Alligator mississippiensis: one gene and its partners. The protein of the gene in region 2 interacts with the protein of the main gene of each other region in a biochemical or structural test. Links are inferred from orthologs where the notes say so. Each region holds a gene or a part of one and is shown on either strand. Other genes may lie near its edges.

Region 1 (7,518 bases), on a different chromosome or scaffold from region 2:
TGCCAGCAAATATACTTTCTACAATACATTTATAAAAAGACAGGTCTCATGCCTGCACTAAAGGAGTTAATACTTGTAATTTACATTGTAAACCTTTGGGGACCAGCAACATTAGCACTCTTATGTATATGTAAAGCACCAAGTTAATTTACATTGCCATCCTGATCATGGATTATCATAACATATATGCAGTGACATCATCTGTAGGCGCACATTGATTTTAATGTAGCGCCTTATTAGCTACTTGTACAGCCTGTCTTATTTTTATGTGTAATCAAGATAATTGTACATGGTTCTCTACATACTTTGTGGTCCCCATTCTTAAAAAAAACTCACAACCTCCTTCTATTAGTTCTGTTTCTTACATGCACTTGGTGTTAATACACTAATTAAAACACTTATCACAGGTACCAAGTTTCTACAGCTCCTATTGATTTCAACAGGATTCAAGATAGCTCAGTATTTCTAATAATCAGGCCAAATGGTTTCTGACATGGTAACTACATTTCAAATGTAGCTAAGCAATTCTAACTACATACTGTGAGTAAAAAAAATGCCCTGGTTTAAGAAAATGTCTTTCCTTTCTCAGCAAAGGAATAATTCCAAAAGAACTAGCTGTAGAAACTCTAGCGATTTTTAGAGATGGAAGTGAGGGGAAAACTGGCATATATTTGAACCTATACTGTAGGAAGCTTTAGAAAAAAAAATATCCATGGCAGATGTACGTAAGTGCAAGTGTGCCTGATAGAAAAACAAGAGATCATCTCAAAAATCCAATCTGCTGCAATGCCTCTCATTAACAATCCTACTAAATCATGTCACTCTGTAGATTTTCACCTGCTTTTCTTCATTTGATTTTATTTAATTTGATTTTTCTTCAATCTTTTCCCAGGGTAGTGCTTTAACAGCCTCCACAAGGTGGCAGGCAGAATGACACACGCACCTTCTGGCTCCTAAATTCTGAAGCCATAAGTCTCATGCTTTCCATATTCCCCAGTGTGCCAGACTACAAACTCAGTAGCTAAACTGACTCTTATGCTTATGATAGATATGTCATGTTTATAAGCTATAAAATTGATTCACTCTGTGGAACAAATATTTTCATTAGTTTCTCACAAAATCTAATTGTAGCCATGACTGTCTAGGAAATTTATGGTACAAAAGGGTTTTTTGGGGGGGTTTTTGGTTGGTTTTATTTTTTTTTTATTTTTTTTTATTTTTATTTTTTTTTGCAGTTAGGCAAGATTTCAGACATGAACTGCCCTTCCTCAGCTCTCAAGATAGAAAACATACTGAATTATTTCTGCTGTACATATTACTATTAGAAATTACTACACAATTACTCTAAGTTGTAGGACACAGTAAAAACACTGACCTTGTGCAAAAATATAGCAAAATGCTAAAAAGCGACCTTCAAAGAAATCACCTTCTTATCAGCTCTAAAATTACATTTTTCTTCTTTGTGGTGTTACTTTATAAATATCAGGGACCTCAAGTCTGGCACTTCCTCATCTTCTGGAAAACATTATAACAGAGGACAATGAGCCTTCATGCCTTTTCTTTGAAATTGCACAAAGGTTTACCAAAGACAGATGTACCAAAGATTTCCTTTCTTTGATGTGTTATGAAAACCAAGTTTGGAAAGATTTAAATAATCACTTAAATTTCGTATCTTTCTGTTGTGAGATCAGTGCTCCACCAGTTTTCCAGTCATTCACAGACTTCTTGTTTTTGTAAAAGAACTGAAATCCTAAGGTAAAAAAAAGAGAAAAATAAGTAAATTATATTAGAAAACAAAGAGCAGTCTTTTCCAAACTACTTCACATACCATTAAAAACCCAACAAGGGTCACATCTTTTTCCCCCTATGGGTCATGTGTAGGGTACCTAAAGATCCTTGTATTTTCCTGGAAGCAAAAGTCTGTTTTCCAATAGCCATGGACATACTGGCTATTAGAAATTCCACACAGAATTATTTTCAGGTTTTGTAGATTAATAACATGGCATTTTAGATAAAACTGAATGTAGTTACTTTGCTCAATACAGGGTGGTAGACGTAGGCTACAACTGCAGTTTTCTGACGTGAATCTCTCGTAGCATTTGAGACCCAATGTTTAATGTTTGATTTTCCAATAGGTATTAAAAATGTAAATTAAAGGCATTTATTTCTCTTCCCACGTCTGAGGTATTGATCTGTGGTTTTAGAGATGTTTAAGAAAACCTTCTGTGTTACATCAATCCAAATATCAGCTGTTGGTTCCTCAAAATGGGGGTCACTGCTTGGCAATTTCTGGGGCATTGTGAAATATGCGCACACATTTTTTTCCCCAAATATATTCATTGGCTTAAGCAGTGTCGGCTACTAAAGCTTTAATTTTTCTTTTGTTTTGTTACGTGAAAGCTGTAAGGATTTGACTGTGTTCACTTGTGAAACTCAAAACGTTTCCATTCACGTTCCTGTTGTGCTGAAATGCATGCAGGATAAGCCTCTTGCTGGCAAGAGGGCAGATTAAATAGAAGGCAAGGTACATTTGCACCTTATAGACCAGTGATTCTCAACCAGGGTGTCCTGGCACCCTAGGGTGCCTTGAGATCCTTTCTGTGGGGCCACACAATATTAGGACTGTGAGGTGTACAAACGTGATTCAAGTGATGAGCCCAGAGATCACAGAGAGGAATCTCCAGTGTCAAAAACATTCTTCCCTGTTGTCATTGGTGACATGTAGGGATGCATGCGAGTGCACTTGCACCCCTGAGATTGGCGGTGCACCCCAAGAGAAGCGCCGTTGACGCTGCTGTCAGCGCCTGTGGGCGGTCGCTGCTTGCCACCCCTGTCCCCTCCCTCACCGTTGACACTGCCAGCGGGGTCTGCAGGCGATCGCCAATGGCTGCTGGCTACTGGTGAAACTGCCAGCGGCATCTCTGGGTAGCTGCCACTGGGCGCTCACCACCCCTCCCCTCGCTGCCCACACTGCCGTGGCCACTTGCAGGAGCTCCCCGCTCCCTGCCACCATGCCCCCGACACCAGCACCACTGCCTGCAGATGGTTACCTTCTGGGGGCACGCGTCATTCATGCCTGTTGTGGTCTTACCGAGCTTACTGTTTGCAACAGAATTGCTCCAGATTTTTCTATAGTCCAAAAAAAAAAAGGAGAAATTAAGAGCTGGCATTTTCCAAGTCTACTCAGGGGTGCCTGGAGCTGGCAGAGGGGTGCCTGGGGTCTAAAGAAAGTTGACTATTATAGACTAACAAAAGTAGATCAATAGAGGGCACAAGTTTTTGTGAGCTGAACCTCACCTCATGAAAGCTTGTACTACACATGCATATACATACATATATCTGTGTGTGTATGTGTGTATGTATACACAGGCAACCCCCACTTAGCATTCTTAATTGGTCCCCAAAAAATCAAGTGGTAAGTGGAACAGTGTTAAGGAAAACCAAGAAAAGATTTTGACGAACCAAGATGGTGACCGCGAGCCCTATCCTGGAACTTGCTGAGCGCTAAGCGGAATCGGTGTCAATGTTAACGAGCATTATAGCGAAATAGCACTAAGCAGAACAGCACTGAGCAAGCATTGCCTGTATACATATAATGTGCGCATGTGTGTATATGTATGTCTGTGTCTGCATGTATGTACTCTGGTTAATCTATACGGTAGAAGGGGTGTGTGTGTGTATACATATATGTATATGTGTGTGTGTGTGTGTATATATATATATATATATATATATATATAATATCGTGAACGATGTGTGCTTCCAGAGGTGGGCAGGGCACTGCAACGGCGCCGTACGCAACGGTGGCAAGGCCAGCAGCGGCGAGAAATCCCGCAATCGGCCACAGCGGTGTACGCAGCGCAAGGTGGGGTGGGAGGGGCGGACACGTGACCACCCATTCCGCGCTTCTCATTGGCTACCGTCGGCCCTTCCCGCGCCAGGCTATGAACCCGAAGGCTGCGCGCCCTCCGCCTCCGAACACATGGTCGGGCGGGGCAAGTGCTCACACATGCGCGATGGGGACAGTTCGGCCGGCTCGAACTCCCGCGCTCTTTCTCCTTCCCTTCAGCTCTCGCGGCCTTTCCCGAGGCGCTGCGTCACTTCCGGGGGGCGCGAGACGGAGGGAAGATGGCGGCGCTGGGTGAGCCCGTGCGGCTGGAGCGAGGTGAGGGCGGCTGGGAACGGCCTTTGGAAGGCGCGGGGGAGGGGAGGAGCTACGCACTCCCCTTTCCGCACACCCCCCCCTCGCGCGGCCGGGGGACGCCTCGCCGCAGGGTCCCCCCCGCCGAGTGTCACCTCGGATACCTGCCACACCTTACGTGCATTGCGCAGTGTAGCCCGGGCAGAGCAGTCGGCCCGCCAAGAACGGGTGGTTCCCGCCCTCGTTTTAGGCCGGCCCATCGAGTAGAGGAGGTCCCCCGCTATAAAAATTACCTACTTGAAAAAGAGGCAACCAGCTCTACAGTTAGTGGTGGAAAATGTGTAACGACTTGAGAGCCGGTTTCTTCATGGCTTGAACTGGGGCGTGTGGCAGGGCTTGCTTGTAATATACAGTGCCCACTTGGGTTGTGATGTTCAGGGCGGTGTTATTTTTGCTGCCCAGTGAAGTGTAGGTGCAAACCACTGGAGAATTACGTGCAGGCGCAATATAGAGCATCCAAACCACGTCTTAATTTTCCAAGCGCATGTGCACATAGGCAGCAAATGTGGCTGGTGTGAAGAGTGACTTCTCAGTGGGAGTGGAGACCAAAGAGGATTTGTTTTGGGTGGTGAAAACACCTAGTCGGGCTCTTGAAAGGAGCAACAGATGATTAGTGAGGGGGGTGTATGGCCAGCTCTTTGTGGGATCATAGGAAAAGAGAGTTGGAAGGGACCTCAGGAGTCACCTAGTCCAACCCCATGCTCAAAGCAGGACCAACCCCAACTAGAACATACCAACCAAAGCCCTGTCCAGCCAGGTTTTGAAAACCCCCAAGAGTTGCCTTTCTTCTTGCGCTTTGGTAGTGGGTATGGGGTGGGGAATGTACCATTTTAGCTTGTGTCTGGCTGTAAGTGGAGATTTCTCTTGTTCAATCTCCGCGTATTACCAGCTTCAGAATTCTATTCTTGAGACTGTTTGATGGTTCCCCTCCCCATTTCCTTCATCTACCTTCCCATTTCGCAAACAAGCTGCTTGTAGGGTGAGCGAGAAGCTTTGTAAATAGATCCTTGTTGCTGCTGATTCCACAGCTCTGCTGCCCCCCTCCCCCAAAGCTTGTTAATTAGAGCAGTTGCTTTGGCAGTGGATTAGCTGTTCTCAGTGGGTTTGCTGTGTAAAACCTCAGGCAGCATCTTGCTCCCCTCATTACCCTGCCACTGTGCTCTGTCCATGAAAACAAACAAATCTCTGCAGAGTTATTTATGAACTCTGGAACAAAGGAGCTATTTACGCTCCTTTGTTGGAGCTTAAATAGTTCCATGTTGGTTCATCTTAAGAATGTGGAAAAGAGTACAGAATAGAGTAGACTTAGTGAAGAAGAATGCTATTTTTCAGAAGTAATTTCTGTTGTGATATTGTTGACTTTAGATAAGTTTATGATATTTCATTATCAGGTCAAAGGAGCAAACATCACAGAGAATTGGCATATAACGTAGGGAGAGATGGACAGTTCTGTTTAAAAAGCATGTCTGTACTAGCAATAGGAGTACGTTACAAATTGGAGGACAAATATAAAAGAATCATGGAATACTAAACTTGGATTGGGAGGGACCCCAGAAGGCATTTTGTCCAACACCTTGCTCAAGGCAAAATCTTCCTTGCCTAAGCCATCTTAGATGAATGTTTCTGACCTGCACTATTGATTTGATTACACTTCCCTTCTAGGTAGTATACTTCAGTGCTTAACACCTCTTCAGAGTTAGGAAGTTTTTCCTAATGCAGTATTCATTCTTTAAGTCCGTAGCTTTGGTACTGAAAAAAGATGATAAGCTAATCTGGTTTAAATTTGGTTAAGTGCAGTCAATGCTCATTAAGTACATAGTACTTCCTGTGCCGTTGTACTGTCAGCCCGGAAACTGACATCACTTTCAAGGTTTCTAAGGCCTCTGACGGTTCATTTAAAGGCACAATCTGATTCATCCCCTTGACCCCCTCACACTGCCCCACCAACACGCATGCATGCAGGCGCATGGCTGGATGTGTCATTTTGGAATTGGCCATCAGATCCCAATTGCACCGTGCTTCCATATTTGCCAGTGCAGGGGAAGCTCAGGATCCTGACCCTGGGGTCTGCCTGCATTGGCAGCTTGAAGGCAAGATGCCCAAAAATCAGTTGATTGTCAGTTTGGCAGGGACTGCATTGGGGCTGATTCTAGACCATGGCACAGTCTCCAGACCCAACGAGCTAGTGTTGTTCCATGCAGGGTTTAAAGTCCCCAGCCGGGAGAAGGGGAGCCTCAGTGCCTGGTGCTGGCCTGCCTTGCCAGAGCTGCTTGGTACAGGGTTTAAAGTTCCTTTGGTTTAGCCCGGTTCCCAGCCACATGTTGAATTAAGGCATCATACAAAATGAGCCATGAAAATATTCTACATCAAGGGTGTCAAATATATAGCCCACAGGGTGGATCTGGTGCATGGAAACATTCCATCTGGCCCACTTAGTAGTCCAGCGGACTACTAGAAGTACAGTGTAGCAGAATTCAGGTTCCCTGGACCCCAACGGACATGACTTTTGGCGACAGTTTCCAAGCTCTGTCCTGCTGCCTGAATTCAGCTCCATGCAGTCGCATGCCCCTAGCTTTGTGCCACTTTCCAGCCAGATCTCCACTCCATGGGGCAGTGGCATGGTTCTAGGAGCATGTCATTGCATAGAGCTACGTTTGGGCAGCAGTCTGACCAGTCAGCAGTGCCAGGGGTCACATGGCAGCACAGAGCTGAGGGTGTACAGTGGCACAAAGCCATGGTCGGGCAGAGTGGAGCTGGGGATATGCACCTGCAAGGAGCCAGGGACGTGTGGCAATGCAGAGCTGAGGCTGTGCAATAGCACACAGACATGTTCAAGTAGTGTGGAGCTAGGGGTATGTATGGAAAGGACCCAGGGACATGCAGTGGTACAGAGCTCTAGCCAGGCAGTGGCATAGACCCAGGAGGTTGCTGCTTATAGTCTAGTTTGCATCCACACCACTACATGTCCCTGGCTCCAGCTCTATGCTAGTAGTCTGGCTTCAGAATAGAGTAGCAGTTGCAGGATTGGATAGCGGGGAAGGAGAATTAAGAATGATTCAGTGTGGGATTCTTGGAGGACTGACCAGACCAATGTCGCAGAACACCTGGTGTTTACGTCTAACAGTGAACTGGTTCACAGTGAACCAGTTCAGAATAGTACTTGATTTTTCAGGTATGCTTCTGAACCATTCCACACACCTTTAAAGTGGTTTCACAGGCTTGCAAGTTTGTCTGCTTAGGTTCAAACTACATTTAAACTCGTCTAAGTATTATGCCTGTCCATGCCCATACCTGTCCTAACAAAACTCTGTAGTGTG
Region 2 (8,016 bases):
ACATGAGCCTTGCAGATCCGAATGCTCACTTCAGATGCCTCTGGTGTGTCACTGAAGACATGGGAAACCATGAGGTGCTTCGGTGGGCGATATGCATGGAAAGAGATGGTACATGATGAAAAGTGCTGTCAGAGAGAAGGAAGCAATGGGGTTAACAGAACAGGATCTGTTCCAACACAAGGCCTTACAAGCTCACCCAAGCCAGCTCCTGCTCCTCTGAGATACAAGGACAATGAAGTACAAGCGACTTTCTAGCTCCTACCTTTTTAGGCACTGCACATGCTGCACATTCAAAGGACGTAGCAATGACTCTTCCCACCAGGGCAAGACTACAGACAGAAAATGTCCGCATTCTGCATTACTGCAGGTGGGGAAACTCTCCTAGAGGACTGAGCGAGGGGGAAACAGCACGGTGTCAGGGAGATCAGATGAGTGCGCGAGTAGAGGCACGATAGACTTGAGAACGGTCGATACACAGCAGGCATCAGCAGCTCTCGCAAAGAAATTAAATCCCATCATAGTTTGTCAGGATTCCTGCATGGCTGTGCCGCAGGCTGCCTCTTTACACTGGGCTACACAGGTACCGCGGGGCCAGCCCCTACTCCCGCTGAAGTGGATGGCTGCGCCCTCGCGCGCGCAGGTCCCTCAGACCGCGTGCTGGCTAGTCGTGCCGAGTCGGGATCTTACGGCAGCCACCAGCAGCGGAGCTGTACCAAAGAGTGAACAAGAAACAGATGAGCTGAAAGAGCCGAGAAATGTTGAGAAGAGAAGTCACAGACGTAACCAAAACCTTTGCCAAGTTACAGCAATAAGAGGCAGCAAAGAGAAGCCCAAACTTGGCTCCCGACAACCACAGACCACTTTGTGGTTAGTCCTGGACTGCGACGAAGGGTGATGCAAGCAGCTGAAACGCCGACATCTTGGCCCAACAGCTCTCAGCAGTTTTCATTTCTAAAAGCAACAGCGTGCACGGATGCACGCGCTCCAGTGTCCCTGTGTGTCTCGAGTCCAAAGCACCTGCGTGGAGAGAAGACCGAAGTTTCACGGTGCAGCAACTGACCCCCTGGGACACGAAGCTGAATAAAGGCTTGGCAGGGGTGGAGGAGCCTTCGAGAGGCTGGCCACCTTGGCACAGGGAACAGGGAACTGCCGCTGAATCTCCTGTAGATTTGACTTCACAAAATAAAAGCTTCGTGACCTCTTATTCAGCCTTGCTTTGTTGGCCTATAACTTTGCGTTATCACAGCCGCGCTCTCCGGCACCGCATTTCAACCCGCACCCGCCCACCCCAACAAAACCCCAGTAACTTGTTTCTAGGTCTGTTCAAGGGCTGTAGGAGCGGAGCCTGCTCCCAAACACCCGTCCCCAGCCCTCGGTCTCAAATACAACTGTGCTTCCTTTTGAGGAGAAAAGCCAAAGCCTCTTTCTTCTTGGTCCTAATTACTACCTATGCGCTACGCTGCTTTCTTCCACTCTTTGAAATCTGCATGCCTGCTTGCAAGGCTGCATGTACCCAGACGTCTTCTCTCCCATCACAGCTGTAACGCCTCACCAGTACCAGATCAATAGGTATTCAAATAACACGCTAGTCTCACAAAGTGAAAAGTACTAGTGCCTTCTCCTTGCTTATTATTATTATTATTCATTCAACCCAACCATCATGCAGGGGAAAACCTTTCCTCTACCATTTATCAAAGTCACTTTTCACCCAAGCTAACTCGGGTGCCAGAAGCAGGCCGGCGCAGGCCCAGCGGGTTACAGAGCGTCGTGCTGCTGCCACCGGGTAACAGTGGGCACAGGGTGGACGTCCCCGGAAGCCCCGAGCGACGAGCAAATGTGCCATGCACTTTTTTGGAAGAGAAAATAAGACAGATGCTTCTGTCACAACCGCAGGGAAAAGGTAGGCAGTGGCTTTCCCACTAAAGCAGAACTGCTCTGAAATTCAAAGCTGAGAAACCCAACAAAACTCAACCGCTCGCACTCAGCCCAGCAGGGTCTCAAGCGCCTGCGGAGAACACGTCACCCCCAGGCACCTCCACGCCCGCTCCAAAGGCCCCCGCCAGAAGGAGGAAGGCACAGTCCAGGGGGATGCAACACTGCCCAGTGGGGGTCAGAAGGACCCGGCTCCTAAAACGTGGCCACCTCCACTGCTTGCCCCCCGCCCGCCCGACCGCAGCATGTCTTGGGGAGGGTGCCCTGGTGCCAGCACCCACTCGCAGCTCGGCACAGACAGCTGCACCCCGCTGAAAGCTGCCGAAGCCACGGCCCCACAGACCGGATCTGGCCTGCGGACCGTAGGCGGCCGACCCCTGCACTAGCCAGCAATTTCACGGGTGACCTGTTGGGAAGGGGTAAGCAGCTCTTCACATGAGGGTGGAAGCAGAGACACATACACGGACCTTGCTCGCGAGTCTAACGCACACAGCAGCGCGGGAGAAGCAGGTGTAGATGCAAATATGTCCTTACCTCCCAGCCGTGTGTGGTCCTGCTGTTAAACCAGGCCTTCCTCTCGCCCAGCCAGACCTTCCTGCGTGGCCTTGCACGTCGTCTCCTGTGCTCCTTCTGCGAGCCCTTTCACCCCCTGCCGCTTTGTCATCTCTCCGTCCCCTCGTCCTCTTTGGGGACTTCCCCCTTCCCCCTCCCTGCAAGCAGGGATGAGAAAAATGGTTCCCCAGTCCACTGGCCCAGCGCTTTCCACCGGAATAAGGCTTGAACGACTGACCGTTGTTGCAGGTCTCGGGGAGGAAACCTGGAGCCCTCGGCAGCAAGTGGCAGAGTCCACATCCACCCAGAGGACGGACCCTGCGGTAGAGAGACGGCCAGAAATACCGCACAGTGCCAGCTGGCTTCCATGACTTGTCCGCAGACCACCGCTCTGCAGACCCTTCCCTCTCACAGACATGGGTCAGAGCGGCACAGACCTGGAGAGAAAGAGGGAATGGCACAGCCTGGGAGGAGGGACCCGCTTCAGCTTGGCCCTGATGGGAGGCATGAGGACTTCACATGTTTCCTCTTCCTGGACATCATATCGATGCAACTGGCCTGGGGAGATGAGCATTCGTATTGTCCAATACTATCAAGGATCAAAGCTTCTGTTCACTGGAGCTTTTCCTTTTTGTTCAGCCCACGTGATAACCTGTAAGAAGAAAAGAAAAGAAAACCAATGGCAGCTGTGGGGAAGGCATTAAACGACTTGCAGCATAAGAGCTCCAGAAGAAACCAAAACAAAGGTCTTAATAACTTTTTGCAAGGCTTTTAATTTATCTTACCTCCAGCTCTGGCACCCCCAAGCACTAAACGTTCGACCCCCAAGACAGAATAAGCATCTGCCCAGCAACAAACATCTCCCCGCCACGGCCACATGTGCAGGCTAACGAGGCGAGGCCCCAGTAAGCCGCAATGCTAATCATATCCTGATCACCACCAGGCTGCACTCACCCAATCAGTAGCCACAATAAAAGTATTTGGTCCCTAGCAGAAATCAGGAGCATGTTAGAAAGTATGTGCTGCCAGAAAAGGGGTTATTCAAGCATTTTACATACTACTGCAGAGGCCATAAAAAGCCTTCTCTCAGAAACAGGTCGTGCCCCCGAGCCACTACGGTTCCACGACTCGTATTATAACAACGGCCCGTCTTCCAGGAGTGCTGAAAAGCCCCATTGAAGATACTTATTTGCATGTCTATGTATGGATTTGGGAACTCAACTGTATGTAACGTTGATTTTTTTTTAATGTTAGTTGAATCCTTCGCCCACTAAAATCAGAAATAAGAATTTAAGAACACCCCAAAATATCCCTGAACGTACCAGACGCACACTCATTCCACTTTGACAGCCTTTATTATGCAAATGATCTTCACCGGCGTTTTGCATGCTCACTTGTGACATACTCATTGTTCAAACACTTAACAGAGGAATTTATGGCCCTGGAGGAATAAATACATCACCAAACAGTAACCACCATCAAACTCTTTACAGTGCTTGTGTCACCTCCCCCTTGACAAGCCAAAACATTTTCCACCTGAATAATTACTGAGCTTAATGGGCTGATTTAATTTCAATGGTAGTTTTGAAGTTGGAAAAGTGCACGGAGGTGGAAGGTTATGCACAGCCTCTCAACAATTTCTCAACTGAAGAGACCTGAAATCTGTCCAAATGGTTTGGCACTGCTCTGCATCCCTTTCCTACCCCAGCAATGCGACTCCCAGCCCTCCCGAGCCAATGCCAACTTGCATCAGCAGCTCTCTCCAAGATAATAACAGCTAGATTTATGTGTATTGCAACAGTACGGAGGAGTCTTAGTCACGGACCAGGATCCACAGTGCCAGGAGGTGCACAAGCACACAACAAAGGATGTCGCTACCCCAAAGAGCCTACCGGGTACATACAGTAGATGGATAAAAGACAACAGATGGGCATGGAAACGCAAGGAGATGACAAAGAGCAGCGTAACGGGCCGGAGTCCTGGCCCACTCGTCAAGTCTTGCGGAGGCTTCGCAGCAAAGGAGAGTCGTGAGCGTGAACCTGAAGGAGAAGGGTGAAGCGGACATCTCCCAAGCACAGGGGGAGCTTGGAGAAACCACCAAGATGCTTGTTGGAAATCTCCCAAGTGGCCAATGGATGCCGGCACCCCGTGCTACGTGGGGCCAGAGCGTGGTGACCGAAGACGCAAACAGGGCCACCAACGGTGCGGAGACTAACGCACAGGTATTGTACTGTGAAGGAGGAAAGACAGAGCTGAAGAGAAGGGTAAGGGAGGCGTTACATTTGCTGGCGGAGCCATGTCACCGCCAGCGTGCATCCAGGAAGAGCACACACCAACTGCTGAAGCTTCCTTAGCCTGACGAAGCGTTTTTGAACCCGAAAGCTTGCTTAATAACTATTCTCCAACCATTTAGGTTGGTCTAATAAAAGATGTCAAATTCACCCAAGGAACCTCGTCTGCCGGGAGATAAATGCACTTATGGACGCAAGCGCCAACGAGAGCAGAGACTTCCCTTCTGCCCAAAGGGCCCTGGAGAACAAGGCCACTTTCCGCACTCCAGGCTGTAGCACTTGCCCAGCTGCGGTCCCACCAGTAATTGCCCCGGGCCCCTGAGCTGTTTCAGCTTTAGCATCATGTTAAAATGTGCTTATTAAGAAATAATACTACTCTGCTGACATCACACGAGAGCATTCGTGACACACGTGCCCTTTTGATGTACACGATAGCCGTGTGGTCCTGCTCCAGGAGCCCAGACGTAGAGTTTATCACAAATGCATCAATGGTGCAATAAAAGCGACAGTAAATGAACTGGGAAGCATAGTGGCAGCTGTTAAATTGAAGCATTGCAGGGGAACAAACGTGGTTAAAAATGAATATTCCCTCCCAGTCCCCGGGTCTATCCAGTCTCTCAATGGAGCTATCCGGTCTCTTTAACGGATGTTTGTCCCTGCATAGGAGATGCGTTCACTGGTCAAAGCACTCTTCCTCTCCCTAGATGACATTTATGTGAATTAATCATGAGTTGTTTTTTCTAAATCTTCAACGGACGTACTGCAGAAGAGGACAAAGGGATTAGGGCTGTTTAGCACTGTGTCTTGGCAGACCCCTCTGTTTTTAGAAGCAAACACGATGTGACAAACGTGGGTTCAAAATGTTGCCGAGCTTAAAAAATACCTATCTTCCTTCCTCACTGCTTCAGGTTTCTCTTCAGGAGAGCAGGAGTCAACCGGGGAACATTATTACAGCAATATCCTGAGAGCAGCTTTCATATGGAAAGCTAGAGCAGAGCTGCCATCCTCTGCGTTTGATGAACGACACATTGAAGTTTTCAGAGCACCTCAAAGCTGGCCTTGGCTCAGCCGTTCAGTTGAACACCGCTAATTCACATCATTCTGAGCTGAACTCAACCGTGCCTTCCCAATCCAGCATGCATAACATCTGCCAACAGCAGCGAAAAGGAGATTTCAATGAATGCGGCTTCATGAAAATTATAGTGAAAAACAAAAAAATCAGCTTAAATGTAAGCTGCTTCCAGAAAAATATTGTTTAATTAAACGGGATCTAACGTTTTAATTCTTTTTTGGTGCTTTATTTTTTTACCACTAGTTACACCCAACTTGGACTCCCTGAAAAAGCATCTTGACTCTGTAAAGCGGATTCCAAAACTTAACGGGTTTTGTGAAAAAACTTCAGTTCGTTTCTATGGTAATGGAGAGCATCCTCATGGTCTGATCGCGATTACAGCTTCTGAAACCAAAGCGAAGGCATGCCTCCCCACCCGGCTCTACAGCTATTATCACAGGGAGACAGAGGATTAGCATTACTGGTATTCCCCCAAGTGAATACATTCCTGTTGAAGACCGGAGAGGTGGTTTATTCACCAGCGGTGAACACGGCACTGGCACTCCAGCGACGGGGGACAGCCTTTATGTGACCTGCGTGTCATGCTCCCTTCCCCGTCGCAAGGACTTGAGAGCATCGACAAACAGCTTTCCTGGGCGAGAACATGCTCCTCCTGCCTGCATGCACTGGCTGCCAGCCCAGGACCCAGAGCCGCTGTGCCGAGACATGGCCTACCCTTATTGCACTACATGCTGTGCCCCGATGCTTTTGCATCTGGGTACCAGGCCCGTATGTCCCCAGTGAGCACGAGGGACCCGATAAGGCGACAGCCCAAGGAGAGGCGGATGTGTGAGCTGAGGGCTGAAACCAGAATACAAAGCGATGGAAGGAGCATTTACTTCTCTAGTAGCTAGCATGTACCAGGCACACTGGGTATTTCTCTCTCTCTCAACTGCTGTCCGGTAATTTAATTGCACCTTCTGAGTCCTTTATATCCCACTAACCTTGATATGTAAGGGCTGTGTGTTTCTGGAGAGGATGGATATCGAAACATACTGGAATGGGGGCAAATTTATTTTTGGAATGAAAACTCATACTGGTTTTTATGTACATATCTACTATATGATGACATAGAGCTGAAATGATAAACCTCACCTCCCTATAAAGTCAAGATACACCTTAAAAACAGATCCCTATTCCCTATTTCGGGGACATGAATTCACTACCCACTTGCACATATAATGATACCTTAGAGAATCAAAGCAGCAGCTCGATGAGATCAGCGACACCATAATCCCCTCGTTTCATATCAAAAGCACAGTATGAGAGAAATAGCACATATGGAAATACAGACCTTGTTTCAATTTTTAAAAGTTGATTTCACAAATCTTGATAGAGCAAAATTACTTTCAAACCTAGAAGGTTTAGGAGTCCAGAAGAAAAGCTGTTTGATTTACAGAACAGGTCCAAAGTAGCAAGGTTACTGTAAACTGTCTTAATCGCAAGAAAACTGACATTTATCATAAGTTGTTTAAGCTTATTTTTGACTCATCCTGATGGGTACAATTGATTATAACAAGACTCCTGGCAAATGAGCTATTTTAAAATATTTTTTTACATTGAACTTTTCCATAAACTGAAGAGACAGTCATGTCGAGAGCGCTTCCCAAAAGTTTCCAGACTGAGCAACTGTCTCCAAATCTCCGGCCCTTCAGTGCAATGATTTCACCGCAACGGTCCAACGCCGGGATGCTGCAATGAGACGCTAAATGCCGGCACCCCCCGGCAGTGGCTTCTGGCACGGCTGGTTCTGAAGCGGGACGGGGGAAAAGCGAGCGCTCCCGCGATGCGCGACAGCTGAGCTCAGCAAGAAGATCGCAGAGAAGAGCAGGGCGTGAGCCAACCAAACTAAAGCTACCAGGAAGCACTGTGATGGCATCAAGTTTAATTTTCAATTCTCAGCCAAAAACCCCAGGTTTTGATTTTGCAAAGTCAGCATTTTCTATGGGCAATGTCAACCATTTTTGTCTGCTTTCATCAAAATATTCAATGGTCTAAACAAACAAACACTCGCTCTTGCCCAGTTTGAATGCAGGCTTCCTACCTGACTTCTTCATCCCTATTCCTCCAGAATACAAACCATTCGCTAAAGCTGTGCTTTGGCGGATGTCTGTCAAACCTCTCAGAGCA
Region 3 (7,707 bases), on a different chromosome or scaffold from region 2:
CTGCAAAAATATTTAAATCCAGACGGTTTCACAGAACATTCTGAGCAAATGTTGTCTACCTGTTTAATCGCCCTTACTAGATTTGGGAGTCTTAAACTTGCCCTCCCAGAAACGTAATTTTCATCTGACTTGGTACTGAGCATGCCATTTCTTATCTTCACAATGGTTGAAGTTATTGCCAAATATAAATTTTTCTCCTTTTAAGACTTACAATATTGAGGTTTCAAAGAGACAGATATTTGTTGGCCAGCAGGGAGATAAAAAAAAGTCAAGGAGCAGACCCAAATCATAGCATGCTTTAGTATATCTCACTTTTTAGGTACATAATAAGTTGGGTTAAAGATATTAAAGTACTAAAAATCAATTTAAATAGAAGCAAGCATTTGAAGTCAAACTTTCAAGTTGGGAAACCTGAAGGTTATTCTGCTCCTCCTAAACCTCCTGCCAGAATATGTTCAGGCTCGCAAGTGTGTTGAATAAAACAGCCCAGTGGGGAGCCAAACTTTTTAGCAGGTGTGCCACAACTTAAGCCCCATGTGCCACTTCAACCCCCTTCTCAATATGGCTCTCTGCTCCCTGCCCAACTTGCTGCTTTATTTCTGTTGCCTGACTAACAACTACTCCACTTGGTGCCCTTTTCCCTGCCTCCCACTGTGGTCCCTGCTACCCAGCCAGGGTGGTGCACAGGACCTGGGGTTGGGCCTGTGAGCAGGTCAGAGCCACAGGTGGCTCATCCAGAGGGGCGTGGGGGAGACAGTAACTCCCCACCACTGCATGCACCCCCTTGGGGAGGTAGGGCATGTGCCCCCCCAGACTTGTGCCTAGACATGGGCTCAAGGTTCTCTGCTCTGCTGCCTTTCCCACAGGAGCCCCACACCGGCCCCGCATTGCCTGCCTGTCTGGCAGCAGTGGGGGCAGCGAGTTGTGTGCCCCACTGCTGGGTGGGCAGGGGGCATGGGGCCAGCATGGAGCTCCTGGGGCAGAGCGCCCTGAGCCCACAGAGAGCAGCCCACATCCGCCTTCACTCTGCTCAGCTCAAGCGTCCCCGCACTTAAAAATGGTGGCGGCAGCACTTGAACTAAAGCTCATTCCATGAGCTTCAGTTCAAGCACCCCGCTGCCAGTTTTAAGCACAGGGATGCTGATGCATGTGACGCAGGAGGCTGGAGTGTGCCAGAGAACAACAAAACAAACAAAACCAAGGTTTATTTCTGTCAGTACTTCAAAATGCCTTGCATTATTACTAAATATCAGTTATCAGATCGGCATCAGCCAATATGGTTGGTTAATAATTGGCTATTGGTATCAACCAAGAAAATCATTATCTGTGAACCCCTAGTTTCATTATACTGCATTCCAATGTTTTATTCTGTTTTTATACATTATGTAGTTGCTGTAAGCCACCCTGAGCCTTCTCTAGAAAGGGTTGCATATAAGCGTAATCAAAACACAGATGTTTTTCCTCTTTCATTAGAAAATAAGTCTTACAGGGTTAAGACACAATACTCCTCTTGAACTCAGTTTGCATGCCATGCAGCTTTAACCTGTTCGAGCAAGGCAAAGAGCTCTAAAACTTCTGTAAAAGTAGTTCACCTTAAAGCAACAACGAGAGCCAGGATGTCAAACTGCTACAGTCCCTCACATCGGTGCTATCTGCAAAAACAGATCCTTGTTTCTACATCCTGCCAGCACATATTCCTTTTCTTTTATATAGTATATACTGCAACATAAGCACTGGCTTGGTGTTTCATGAATTCCTGTATTGTTGATAGAGATAGCTTATATAATATTACAGACAGTATTAGAGCAGAAGAGATCACAGTATCAAAGGCTAATGCCATAGAAAAGACGAGCTCCTTTAGCCTGATGAAGCGTCATTATGGACATTTAGGGGAAGAAGCTGGAACAGGTTTCCTCCTTGTTTTCTAGAAGGAAGGAATAAAGAATAAACTTCTAGGAATTTCTAAGAGGAAAATCCATGAGCCATTATAGTAAGTTCCAACAAAAATAATATGGCAAGGGAGCGCAAAAAGGGGTGAGAAAAAACCACAAACTCTTGCACAACACCAAGTGTGACTAATATAAAACTTCACTAGTTTGATCCACCACAGAGGGCTCGTACGCCCATCCCTCAAAGTCAGCCAAGCCTTTCTTCATGAGACTGACTTCTCCTTCGCGAGCCAGATGAGGGATGTTTAAGTTCACAAGTTTAAAGTGGTATTAATGCAGGACTTCCATTTCGGAAGTCGACAGCGAAAACAGTCACTGTATCATAACCTTTTTTATGGAGACCGAAGCGTAGGAGAATGCCAGACAAGGTTACAGGAGAAGAGTTGAAAGAACTTGATTGTTTGACACAGCACAGCCTAAAACAAGCACTAAGTCCCAATATCAACCGGGACCTATAGAGCAGCCCGTGGGCGAGCAGCAGCCCCTGGCACCCTGCTGCTGCGCCCACAGGACGGTCTGGGGGGCGGCAGGCTGCGCGCTGGACCGGCGGGCAGAGACGGCGGGGGCTGGGGCCACGCGGGTCTGCTCCGGGCTCCACACCCGTCGGCCGGCCGGCCGCGCGGCAGGGCCAGAACACGAGTGCCCCCGACCCGCGGCACCGCGCGCTCAAGGCAAGGAACAACCCCGAGACAAAGGCACTTCTAAGAAGAGCTTTGCCCGTCCATGCTGGCAAGTTAAATATGACTTATTAATGACAGGACTTGGTTCCTTGCTGCCGGCGAGGTGAACGCGCTCTTGTCTACGCAGCCGCACCCGCAGGCCTTCGCCTCTCATGTTTTATTGGGAAAGATAAGAAGTAATAAAAAACAAAAAAAACAAGAAAAACTTTCTCTCCCTATTTCTCCCCAGAATAGGGTCACGAGGAACTTGGCTGAGGAGAAGGGAGAAGCGGGGGACGAAGCTCCAACACCGACCGCTCCGGTGTCTCTCGGAGGACTCGTAGGGGGCGGCGAGGGGGGCCGCGCGGCCCGGGACAGCGCCCGCCCGCCCGCCCGCCTCTCCGCAACTTTCCTGGCGCCGCGTCTCGCCGCCGCGCCGCGCCGCGCCCGGCCGCCCCTCCCCTCCCCTCCCCGCTCCCGGCCGCCGGCTGAGGCGCAGCCGGGCCCTGCTCGCGGCTTCCCCGCCCGGCCCGGCCGACACTCACCGATGAGCGCCTGGAAGAGGCTGCTCTGGAAGATGCCGATGACGCGCTCGAGCGAGCTCCGCAGCTGCCGGTCCTCGGCGTGGCTCAGCTTGGCGCGGTACTCCTCCAGCAGGCGCAGCGCGCGCCGGGTGTCTGCGGGCGGCACGGCACGGCGCGGTCAGCGGGGGGGCCCGGCCGCCCGGCCGCCACCGCCCGCCCAACTCGCCGTGTCCCCCTGCCCCCGCCCCGGGCTGTGAGGGGCCCGCTCCCGCCGCGCCCCCACCTTGCTTCCGGACGGGCATGGTGCCGCCCCGCCCGTCCCGGGGAGCGCGGGCGGGGGCGGCCCCGGCTGGACTCGTGGCGGCCGCGCCGCTCCCGCTCCCGGTGCTGCCGCCGCCGCTCCGGCTCCGCCGCCGCCGCCTCCCGCTCGCGCCGCTTTGAAATTCCAAAGTTTCCAGGCAAAATGGCGGCGGGGCCGCGCGGCGCCCCCACGTGACCGGCCCGCGCCGCCCAATCAGCGGCCGCCCCGCGCGGGGCCGGGCCGGGCCCGGGGGCCAGGTGAGCGCTCCCCCGCCCCGCCCCGCCCCGCCCCGCCTCAGGTGCGCCCGGCCCCGCCCCGCCCGGCCCCGCCCCGCCCCGCAGGCCCCGCCCCGCCAGCCGCCGCAGCGCCACGAGCCGGGCAGCCCCCGGCCGCGACGGGTCCCCGCCTCCGCACCCGCCCCGGCCACGCCGCCACGGGCGTCGCGGGCACGTTGGCACATTGGCACAGGCATCGCGGCCACAGGCATGTTGGCACGGGCGTCACGGGCACGTTGGCATGGGTGTCACAGGCACATTGACACAGGCGTTGCGGCCACAGGCATGTTGGCACGGGCGTCACGGGCACGTTGGCATGGGTGTTACAGGCACATTGACACAGGCATCGCGGCCACAGGCATGCTGGCACGAGTGTCACAGGCATGTTGGCACGGGCATCACGGGCACGTTGGCATGGGTGTTACAGGCACATTGACACAGGCATTGCGGCCACAGGCATGCTGGCACGGGTGTCACAGGCACGTTGGCACGGGCGTCGTTGGCACGCCACATCGTGGACATGCTGGTGTGGCGTGGCGTGGCATGGCACGGCACGGGCCACCCCGGGGCGGGTGCAGACGGCGCTGGCAGCCCGACCTCCAGGACGGGACCTGTTCTCCACGCAGGCGGGGTGCACCCAGGGGGTGCGGGTCAAGACCCCCACGGCGGGGGGCCACACCCCTGCTCCAGCCCCCCAGTGCAGGCAGCCCAGCCCAGCCCGCCTAGCAGGGGCCTCCGGGGCTGAAGTGCCCAAAGCAAGCACGTGTCAGCCCCCCCTTCCCCTTCCCCCAGCCCGGACCTGCCTGTACCCCCACCGGCCGCCCTTTCTCCCCGTTGTGTTGTGTGGGGGGGGGGGGAGCTGGAGGCAGCCTGGCTGGGCCGGGGCTGGGCTCAGCGGGGAGGGGACCGGCAGCAACAGGGCAGCCGGGGAGCAGTTCCCCACGCCGGCCCAGGCAGGGAGGGGGAGCCCCGGCCATCCCTGCTGCTCTTTCTCCCCCCCCCCCCCCCGACCAGGAAGGGCTCCAGCGCTTCCCGTCCCCAGGACAGCAGGGCAGGGCAGGAAGGAAGGAAGCCAGGAGAGGGGGAGGCGGTGTGTCTTTGAGCAGGAAGGGGGAGGGAGGGAGGATTTTCACCTGCTCTAGGAAGTCCCCCACAGTGCGATCCATGCCCAAAGGGGGGTGCAGCCATGCCACTGTACCAGTGCTCAACTTATGGGGGAGCTCGGTGGGGCTGAGCCGGGCCATAGGACATGACAGCCCCCCTGTAAAATTTTAAAATCATAACCGGGGGGGGGTGCCTCTGGTTTTATTAGGGCATCATGATGGGCAGCCCCATTTTTTTTGCAGACCGCCCCCCCAGAGTCAAAGTGCAATTCGGACCCTGCGCTGCACCCTCAGGGATTTGCCCGACGGTGCCACGGCTGTCCCAAGCACAGGGAAAGTCTGTGATGTCTCAGCTACAGTTCTGTTGCAATTGTGGGAAATGGTGACTTTTTCTTGGAAACCCTTGTCAGTTTATTGAAAATGACAGAATCTTAGGTTTTGTGAAAGCTGATTCTGAGAAGAAGGGAAAAAAAGGGAATGTGGAATCTAAATGACTGAACAATACCGCATCCAATTCCTTGATGTCATATTAGTTTGCATTGCAGACTATTTCTAAATGCCAGACAGAATTTGGCTTTCTGTCCTTCGAACAGCAGTTCCTTGTTGTAGTCATAGGAATAGCGGTACTGTACTTTCATCGTGGCTCCTGGGAGCCCCGGTCATGGGCTGAGACCTCATCGTGGTAGGTGCTGCGCACGCAGAGCAAGACAGACCTGCCCCAGAGAGAGCCAACAGGAGGAGATGAGAAGAGAGGCAGATGGGGCAGCACCATGCGTGAGACAGTACTGGTCGGCATGATGTGCAGGATTCATAGAAGAGACAGCCAGGGGACAGGGGAGACTGTGGCAGATGTACAGCCTCTCAATCAGAACCTCCTAGACCTTAAATGCTGGAGGCTGCAAGAGAGAGGAACAACAGGAAAAACCCAGGTCAGACCCAGTTCACTCCCCCTTCCAACATCTGCACTCTGCCCCGTGTGACAGGAGATGGGGCAAGATGGACCTATGGTCGAGGCAGCTGCACGGGGCAGGCGGGAGGGCTCAGCTGCGGGTGGCGATGGCACTGGGAGGGTGGCTACGGGGGCTAAGGCAATCTTTGGGGTGGCTGTAGCCCCCAAGCACCCCTAGCACCACCCCTGTGGTCGACTCAGTAAATGGCAGTTCTTATGTTCTGTTTTTCTGCCTATAAAAACATGACAGGCGTGGAGAAAGCACATGGGGATTTGCTGTCTCTTACAATACTAGTGTGATGGGACATACAAAGAAATCATCAGGAGGTAGCTCCGAAACAAAGGAAAGGAAGATATTTTTCACACCGCAGGTAATTAACTTGTGGAACTCGTTGCCACAAGAAGTTGTAGAGGCAAATAATTTGACTGGGTTCAAAAGGGGATTGAGCAAGATTAATGCAGAATCTGGGAAGCAAATGTAATAGGGGTACAACCTGCAAATTAGGACTTCCTGGGCCTCTGAAGGATGGAAGCTACAGTGAAGGAGGCGCAGAATCACAGAAGTTTAGGGCTGGAAGGGACCTCATGAGATCATTGGGTCCAGCCCCCCTGCTCTCGGCAGGGAAGACTGGTGGGGTCAAATAACCCCAGCAAGGCGTGCGTCCAGGCTCCTTTTGAAGATTTCCAGGGTAGGTGCCACCACCCCGCTGGGAGTCGATTCCAGAGTCTGGTCACACGAACCGTGAAGAAGTTTTTCATTAGATCCAGTCTTAAACCTTCTTCTAGGAGTTTATGACCGTTGCTCCTGGTTTCCCCCTGGGGCGCTTTGGTGAATAGTTGTTCACCTAGCCCCTGATTCTCACCCCTGATATATTTGTAAGCTGCCACCAAATCCCCCCGAAGTTTTCTCTTTTCTAGGCTGAACAGTCCCATATCCGTCAGCCTTGCCTCGTATGGCTTGCTCTTCAGGCCTCTAATCATACGAATGACTCTTCTCTAGACTCTCTCAACTCCTCCACATCCTTCCGGAAGTGCGGCACCCAGAACTGGATGCAGTACTCCAGCTGCAGCATCGTGAATGCCGAGTAAAGCGGGAGAATAACTTCCTCAGTTTTGTTTGAGATACATCGGCTGATGCATGACAGACTATTGTTTGCCCTGCTAACTGTAGCATCACACTGGTGCTCATATTCATTTTATGGTCAGTGATGACCCCCAGGTCCGTTTCAGCCTATAAGTTTGTTGCGGATTTTTCCTCCCCAGATGGAGCGCTTTACACTTCTCAGTGTTGAACAGCATCTGGTCCTGGTGCTTTTCCCCCTGGCAGCTCTACAGGTCAGATCCAACCCACAGGTTGCAGATCCCTGTGCTAGGTAGTAATGAAAACATTGTATAAAAATACCCACTTAATCTACAGCTGCACAAATTCTTTCATAGAACCGCTGAGCAGTGGGGCCGGCAGGGAGCTCCGGAGGTCACATCTAGCCCAACCCCCTGTCTGAGGCAGGATCAGCCCTGTCCAAACCAACCCAGGCAAACCTGTCAATCTCAACTCCACGCGAGATGACCATCAACCCTGACACGACACAGACCTCACACCCAAACCTGCCACGAGTAAAACGGGAGCCACAGCAGCCAACATCCTAATTCTTTCTACGAAATGTCAATATATGCTCAAGAGACCCTGGGGGAGTGCCATGCCCACCACTCTCGAGGGAGGAATTTACTGTTACACGTTTACATTTACTGACCTGCATTTCTCATTCTCTTTTGGGCAGATTTTCCTACTCTTGCCTGCAGAGCTTTGGTACTGGAGTTGTGATGGCTCACACATCCTTTGTCCAAGCTTTTTAAAGAAATCCCTGCTGGGAGGAGACAGCAGTAGAAGTCCCTGTTATATGATCTCATTAGTTCTAACACAATCCCCATTTCCAGCAGCAATAAAAT
Region 4 (7,642 bases), on a different chromosome or scaffold from region 2:
TGCCTTCTTCCTGACTTCAGACTAACTACCACACTTTGATTTTATCTGTCATAATGCTTTCTTAAAGACCCACATGGACTAAAACAGTGAAACTGTCTATACTCAAAATGCTATACACAAACGCACCTAGTAAATGAACAGGAAAGAACAGGTAGTGAGTGCAGAGATTTTTTTTCCCCTCTCATCTCTAGCAATTCTAGAATGCTTAGTTAGGTCTTATCTTTAAAACTGTCAGATAAAAGCATTTTGAAACACAGCAAAATTTTCAAGCTGCCAGCTTTTCTTTAGGTCAAAATCTTGTTTAAAATGTATTGCATTGTTAGAGGTATACATTATTTTAGGCTATACAACAACATACAAGAGGTGGTGTTAGAAAATTATAGATCCCATTACTTGTCCCATTAAAGACAATGGGTCCTAATTTAACAGTATGTAGAGAAAAAATAGGTTCCCGGTTACTGCTATGTTCACTCAGTTCTCACACATTTTAAACTGAGGAAATGAAGTATAAGCCTTTCTTAACTGAAGGTGTTACACAATCTTTCATAGTAACACAAAGCAAACAAGACCTTTACGTTTACAGTTTTATACCCCAAAACTGTATCCACCTAACTGCATGTAACTGAATATATCAGTCTCAGGAGAATGAACTGAACCTGCCAGAATTTTCTTCTTTGGTTCCATGGAGGCTAGGGATTTCCAACACGACAGCATGTCCATTATACCATTACATTTTGTGATGCTATTGAATGTGATGACAGCTTCCAAGCTATTACACATCGGAGTGTGTGTGCACATGTGCAAGGAACGTTTTTAGAAGCAGATCTCTCCCAGTGCCTCCTGAAAGGTGAGGAATGACAAAACCTAGATAGATATTTGAAAAAAAAAAATGTCACTAATATAATAAACAATACTTTGAAGTTAAGTAATTGTGAAACTGAAAAAGGATGCCTGGAAAGCATTTCTGCTTTCTCCACAGACCTTGCCCCCTCAAGAGAACAGCTCTTTCCTAGCTAACTAGGGCCTTCTAATAAAATGTACTTCTGTTGGCATCTTTCACTTTATAACCAAAGGGTCAATCTATGAATATCTCTTCTTTAATAGGCTTCTAAAAGGCTGGCCTTTGCATCTGATAGAACACAGAATAATAGTCTGAAAACATTACTGCTATTTTAAGCAAAGACAACGCATTAGTGCAAAACAAATGCATTGCTGCAAGCTACAAGAGAAAAGGACAATAACTTAGTCCAGTGAATTATAGTTTTTGTGCTGTACCCCAAGCCTTGTCTGCCCATCATTTAATGAATCTGTTCAAATGTAAAGCTTATATCCACTTTTTAATCCACACTATTTCCAATTGTTAACCATTTTTCCAATCTAAACAAGTCAGATATTCTCTCTTTCAACTAAGCTTTCTATACATTTTATATTGTATAATTAGAAATGCATCAAAACTTCTCAAAGTGCAGGAAAAATGATCAATTTACCACAATTTACAACTACCTATGTCAGTGCATTACAATTTACTGGACACTCAACTTTTCAGCATATACATTCCAACAATATCACCAGCTGATAGCGGTGCTTTAAAAACTGGTAACTGCTTGCTCACTCTTAATTGGCAAGGAAGAGCTTTTAAAAGGAGAAAACTAACTAGTCTGTATTTTAGATGACAGTTCCAAAAAAGCCAACACATGAACACAGATTTAAGATTTAAATGTTTCCATTTATGTAAATCTACCCCTAAATCTTGCATAATTACTCAAAGCACAATTTGTCACAACTTTGGATCATAACTAAAGAGTATAGAAACCAAAAATAAAAGCTGTGCTTTGCACTGTCTGGTTTGCAGATGTCTATGATGCAACAGTAGAAAAAAAAGAAAAGAAAATTAAAATGATAAGTAGACTTTGGACACTAGAAGTTTCTAAAATGACTGATAGATTTAAAGGTACAACTGACCTCACCCCTAAATATTTCTAAATCCCTCCACTGCAATAGCGACAAAGATATTCCACCTTTATTTTCCAAACAACAAAGGTGACGATGTGTTGCGTATTTGTTTCTGGAGGTATGGCAGCCACAGGCTGCAAAGACAGGGGCAGCCAGTTCAGATTTTGACAGCAATGCAGTAGAATTTAAAGTACTGTGACTGGAATATTTTCCAGAACAGGTTGGTTGGGACCCTCTGATCCATGCTAACAAAGAGGTATCAAAACACTGATTGTAGGATGGGCTCCTGGCACCTGGCATAAGGTAAATGTACAGTGCAGATAGAAATCCACACCATATGCCTGATTTGCCCCATGTTAGCTCATCCTTAATGCCTGCAGTCAGAAAAACATCCGCGCCTTCTAGTCCCACTGCTTTAGTTCCTGGGCAGCTATGACAACAGCCAGAGATCTATGGCACACCTTGTGAAGTGAGCCATAATCCTTCAGCGCCATAAAGCCACAAGGAAGCAAAACGACGAAACATCACGCTTCCAAAGACACAGGCCTCCATCCTGGCCTCTCTCTCCCATGCAGATTTCCACACAGGCTGACAGAAAAACAAGCCTTGGGGAACTGCGCCCCACAAGACCGAGCTCTGGGAAAAGTGAAACACAGAGGGCTGCAGTAACTGAATGGAAGGGCCCCACAGCGCTGTGCAGATGTGGCTGGGGTGGGGGGTAGGGAAGAATAGCAGTTCCTAAATCTGCTGGCAGACAGTGACAGCAGCAGCCGCTGGTCCCTCTCCCAGCGCAGGGGTGGAGAGCAGAGGGGGGAAGTGCAGGGAGGCAGCAAGGCGGATGGAGGAGGGCTCCCTGGCACCTCTTTGCAAACCCCGACTGCCTCGGCCTTTTGGCAAGGATCAAGTGAAACTGGGGGCGGGGACACACGAACCCCAAGGCCTCCAGGCCTAGGGCTTGCACATAAGATTGCCTGCCTGGGTCTGGGGAGTCCCCGAAGCCCAGAGGGATGGTTTGGGAGGGGGTAGAGCCACACGCAGACTTGCCGATCGAGCTCTGCCCAGGTGAATTTGGGAACTTGACTCTCGGGCTCTGCCCAATTGGATCTGGAAACGATGTGGCCTTGAACAACATAAAAAAAAAAAACCATCCAGGGGGGACGGGCAGCCCAAGCTGTAGGAAGAGATGCCCTCCTCCCAGCCCGCTCCTGTCAGGCCAGCACCACGTGCTCCCTGCGGCAGCCCCAACCCCCACATGGCAGGACCCGGCGCCGGTGCCGGTGCGGAGCAGGGCGAGGATGGGGCGAGCCTGGCTCGGTCTCTTGCGTTGCAGCGCAGGAGGCGGCCGCCCATCCGCCTCCCCTCCCCCGCTGCCCAAGCCTGGCCGCTGCTTCCCCCGCCGCAGCATCCCCGGCAGGCGCAGCCCTAGCCGGGGGCGGATGCAATCCCGCCCGCTTCCTCCTCCGGCCCCGCACGCACCGCGGTGCAGCCACCCCCGGCTGTCCTGCTCCTCACCGGGTTGGCGGGCCGCTTCAGCAGGCCGCGGTGGGGCAGGGCGGCTGCAGGCGGGAGCCGCGAGCCTGGGCACACGCCGGCACTTCGGCGGCGGCTGCTGCTGCTGCTGCCTCCAGCGCCGGCCCCAGCTCCACCATCTTCCTCCTGCCGCTGCTCGGGCTCCGCAGCCGCCGGCGGAGCCCGTCCCCGCGCCGCCCCCGCCTCTCGCTGCCGCCCCGCCCCGCGCCCGCCCGCGTCACCCGCCGGGGCCGCCCCGCGCGGCGCTGCACGAGGGGCGAGGGCCGAGCCCTGCGCCTCCGCCGCCCCGGTGCCCGCAGCCAGGCTGCCCGAGGAGAGGGTGTCCCCGTGCAGCCGGGCCCCTCGGCCTCCCTCCCACAACCGCCAGCCCCCTCGGCAGGGGCGAGGCCGTGTTCACCCCCCGCTTGGTCCCCACTTTCCCCTCTGCCCAGCTGCACAATAGGGATGCCACTGAGGAGAGCTGACACACGGCTGGGGGTTTTACGCCTCATGTTTCGCTGGCTTTGAGGAAGAGCTGACAAGGGCACCAGGTCTGCCCTCCCCGTTTTCCTGGCATGAAGGAAGCGCTGACACGAGGGCACAGGTTTTACCTTTCACGTTTTCGTGGCACTGAAGAGGAGCTGACGCAAGGACCTGGGTTTTACCCTCCCTGTTTTCCTGGCATTAAGGAAGAGCTGACACAAGGGCGGGGGTTCTACCCTTCATGTTTTTGTGGCATTGAGGAAGAGCTGACACAAGGGCACAGGTTTTCGCTTTCATGTTTTCATGGCAGAGGGAAAGCTGACAGGGGTTTTACTGTTCCTGTTTTCATGGCATTGAGGAAGTGCTGACACAAGGGTGGGGGTTTTACTCTTCATGTTTTCATGGAGACAAGGGAGAGCTAACACAGGCAGGGGTTTTACTCATGTTTTACATTTGGGGAGCAAAACCTATCTGTACAGCTACTGCTGGGTGTGTTGGCCAGCATCATGAAATACATGCAGCCTGCAGTGACTTAGAAGGTCAGGTAGGAGATATCTGTATTTCTGTTTACCTGATTCTCATAACCATGCTCCAAATTGTGTTGATCAGTTCAAGTGTGGTTTCCCAGACGTATAGAAGGGCAGAACACAGCATCAGATCATCCTGTTAGTCCTTCTCCATGTCATAAACCAGCCGGCTTCACTCAAACACCCAAAATGAAATCTGCAGTGTAAACGATACTAAATAGTCCAGTGCACACAAAACCTATAAGGTGTGCCACAAGCAGAGTACAGGAATGACCAAAGTGCCACTCCCTGAAGTCCTGCACTAACAAGTAACTGATTAGATGAGACATGCTCAGAGGTTCCCAGTAGAGAAAGATGAGGACCATACCAACCTGACCTCAAGAGAACAGAAACTCCCTCTCAACCTGAACCTAGTACAGGCAGTCCTTGAATTACAATGTTTCGCATCACAACATTTCACACTTACATTTATAAATTGACACCTGTTTCAACTTTCTGACATCAGTTTTGACTTTACAATGCTTGATCCTCTGCATCCCCCATCTCCCTGGAGAACATCTGTCCAAACTTCCTTGGACACTTTCTTTAAGAAAGCAGACAAGGCTCCAGAATAACCTGCAGCCAAGACTCCTGAGAAGACTCCAGCCAAGAACCCTTCAAAAAGTCCAACCGAGAGCCCTTCAAGAAGTTCAGCTAAGTCACCTCAAGGAAGTCCTTCCAAATCAATATGATTGCTATTTACAACATAAATACATTAATGTAGCTATATTACTCATCTATAATTGAGTACAAAATTATGGGTTATTTTTGGTGAAAGTAGGGTATCGGGCCTTGGTTCAGGAACCAATCCCCCATTCACAACATTGTTTCCTATGGGAAAATCAGTTCCAAGTTGCAATGTTTTGACTTAAGATGCAGTTTTCAGGACCCAATTGTGTCGTAAATCCAAGGATTGCTTGTAATCAGTATGATACACCTTATATGAACAAGACTTACGTCCCAGGACCCGAAAGGATTTTCTATACTGCTTCAGAGGACCAAGATACCCCATCCTATTTCCTATTGACACCTGTGGCCAATCTGATGCTTTAGAAGAAAGCAGGAAGGAAAAGAAAAAAAAAGCAATTATATTATGCATTATGCAAGAAAAAAATCCTTCTCGACTCCTGGAGGCAACTGCCTGAAGCAGGAGATTTTATTCAAGTACTTGTCTTAATGCAGAACTGCAATTGTTAAGAGCATGTTGAAACCAATGTAGACAAACCCAGTCATTCCAGGACCCATTAAAGAAGGTTATAAACAGGGAGATTGCTATCCACAACTTTCAGTGGCTGCTGAAGTGATCAACATCATTTTCCATCCTACTTAGGCCCATACACTCCACACAGACTGAAGAATTTATTCTAAAAGCCAAATTAGAGCATATCTTTCAAAATGATATATCCATCCACCCTATAGAAGCCAAGTGCTGGTGAGGCCACCATCTCTTCTAATGAGATATTCCAGTGTGTCATGACTCCCGTTCCCTGGAAGCTGTGTCTTATTTCAAAGTGGAATTTATCTGTTTTCAATTTCCATCCACAGGATCTTGTTACAGTCATGTCAGGATATCAGAAAAAGGCACCCCACTACCAAACATCTTTATGTTCAAGTATCCCTACATAGCAATCAAGTCACTTCTCAGTTTCTGTTCAATGAGCTGAATAAATTGAGCCACTTCAGACTCACACGACAAAGATTGCTTTTCAGTGCTTAGATCTCATGCTTGTGGCTCTCCTTTGAACTTCTTCCAGTATTTTTATCCCTTTCTAGCCATGTGAACACCAGATATAGGCACAGCATTCAAGCATTTGCACAGAGGCAAAATCACTTCCCTGCTCTTGGATAGTCTCCTTTTATAAATAAGCATTGGATTAGTCTGTTTTGCTATAGTTTTACACAAGGGAGGCACATGGAGGCATTTATCCCTAATGACCTCTAAGTCCCTCACTGAGTCACTGCTTTCTGAGACAGTCTTCCATCCTGTAAATTTACCCTGGATGCCAAATCCATTATCTTGTATTTAGCTGCATTAAAGTGCATGTTATTTGACTGTATTCATTTGACTGAATGAGTGCGTGGGGGGGGGGGGGGGGGCTTATATGTACATGTGTTGGGTTTTTTTCATGCCCAGGGAGGTCTCTAAGCCTCTAGTTATAAGATTATAATTGTTTTTATTTTACGAAAAAGATTTTAAAAGCTGATTGAATGATGGCATCCCCATCCCAAATCAGTGAGACTTGGAGGCTTAACAATACTTCCCTACCTCTCACAAATGCTGTGATAATTAAGCCATTTTAAGCATTACTAACCTGTACCTAGCTAGTAATGGAACAGTTGTTATTATACTATCCACCATATTAATTTAGAATCTAAAGGTATCAGCAGAAGAACTTCATTTGTCCTGAGGCTGATATCCTAAGACATAGATATCAACATGGAAGAATGTCACTGTTACATCTTAGTAGGGGAGAGCCTCTGACACATCTGAGCCCTTCTGATTCCATTCAGTAGAGCCCAGCTGTATCCCAGAGCCACAGTCCATTCACTACATCACTTTAGAAGTGCAAAGCATATCAAATATGTGCAGACTGCAAAAAAGCATGGTGGAAAGACTGATTTTGTAAAATCTCCTGCAAACAATCCTGCAGTGCTTTCTGCTTAGGCAGTGACTGCTCCAGGTTTTTCTTTCTCCCTTTGTTACAATGAGCACATTCGACCCCCCGCCCCACAATTTCATGTTTCCTTTGCTTGCTGTCTTTATTTCATGACCTAATGTACATGCTCTCTCTCTTCCTCCCTCCTGGGAATGTTGCCTACCTTCATAAACTCATGAGAAGAGAAAAACTCTTTCTGCAGAAGGGGCACAGGGCAGAGCAAAGAAAGATGTGCCTTTCTGTGGAATGCATCATCATCATCTGATTGTACATCCTACCACAAACTGGCAGGAGCACAGTGTGTATGTAAGACCCTGAAGCTATTGATCCTTGACAAAACTGTTGAATCTTGACAGGAAAATATAATTAAATGTGCTTTTCTGTTTTTTCCCCTGTCACACTTCCATTTCATATCATCTCTGCTCTTACATTAGAATAAATGGCCTGATAAAGCACCGGTTCCCTGTGAACCTG

Evidence for each region.
Region 1: the proteins of HTR2C (region 2) and LIN7C form a complex in vitro, tested with the Homo sapiens proteins (2 studies listed by BioGRID and IntAct, with this or other methods). The link is inferred for Alligator mississippiensis from reciprocal best matches to the Homo sapiens genes HTR2C and LIN7C.
Region 3: the proteins of HTR2C (region 2) and DLG1 interact in a test that uses a peptide from one of them, tested with the Homo sapiens proteins (2 studies listed by IntAct, with this or other methods). The link is inferred for Alligator mississippiensis from reciprocal best matches to the Homo sapiens genes HTR2C and DLG1.
Region 4: the proteins of HTR2C (region 2) and APBA1 form a complex in vitro, tested with the Homo sapiens proteins (2 studies listed by BioGRID and IntAct, with this or other methods). The link is inferred for Alligator mississippiensis from reciprocal best matches to the Homo sapiens genes HTR2C and APBA1.

The regions. Positions count from the first base shown.
Region 1 is NC_081825.1:209,179,976-209,187,493, forward strand, and holds the start of LIN7C (protein lin-7 homolog C), read left to right. Parts: upstream 1-4,090; 5' UTR 4,091-4,128; coding exon 4,129-4,165; intron 4,166-7,518. UniProt on the Homo sapiens protein: Plays a role in establishing and maintaining the asymmetric distribution of channels and receptors at the plasma membrane of polarized cells.
Region 2 is NC_081831.1:82,763,626-82,771,641, forward strand, and holds the start of HTR2C (5-hydroxytryptamine receptor 2C), read right to left. Parts: upstream 3,133-8,016; 5' UTR 2,467-3,132; intron 1-2,466. UniProt on the Homo sapiens protein: G-protein coupled receptor for 5-hydroxytryptamine (serotonin).
Region 3 is NC_081830.1:89,480,703-89,488,409, reverse strand, and holds the start of DLG1 (disks large homolog 1), read right to left. Parts: upstream 3,568-7,707; 5' UTR 3,435-3,567; coding exon 3,416-3,434; intron 3,286-3,415; coding exon 3,154-3,285; intron 1-3,153. UniProt on the Homo sapiens protein: Essential multidomain scaffolding protein required for normal development. Recruits channels, receptors and signaling molecules to discrete plasma membrane domains in polarized cells.
Region 4 is NC_081826.1:193,884,669-193,892,310, forward strand, and holds the start of APBA1 (amyloid-beta A4 precursor protein-binding family A member 1), read right to left. Parts: upstream 3,663-7,642; 5' UTR 3,466-3,662; intron 1-3,465. UniProt on the Homo sapiens protein: Putative function in synaptic vesicle exocytosis by binding to Munc18-1, an essential component of the synaptic vesicle exocytotic machinery. May modulate processing of the amyloid-beta precursor protein (APP) and hence formation of APP-beta.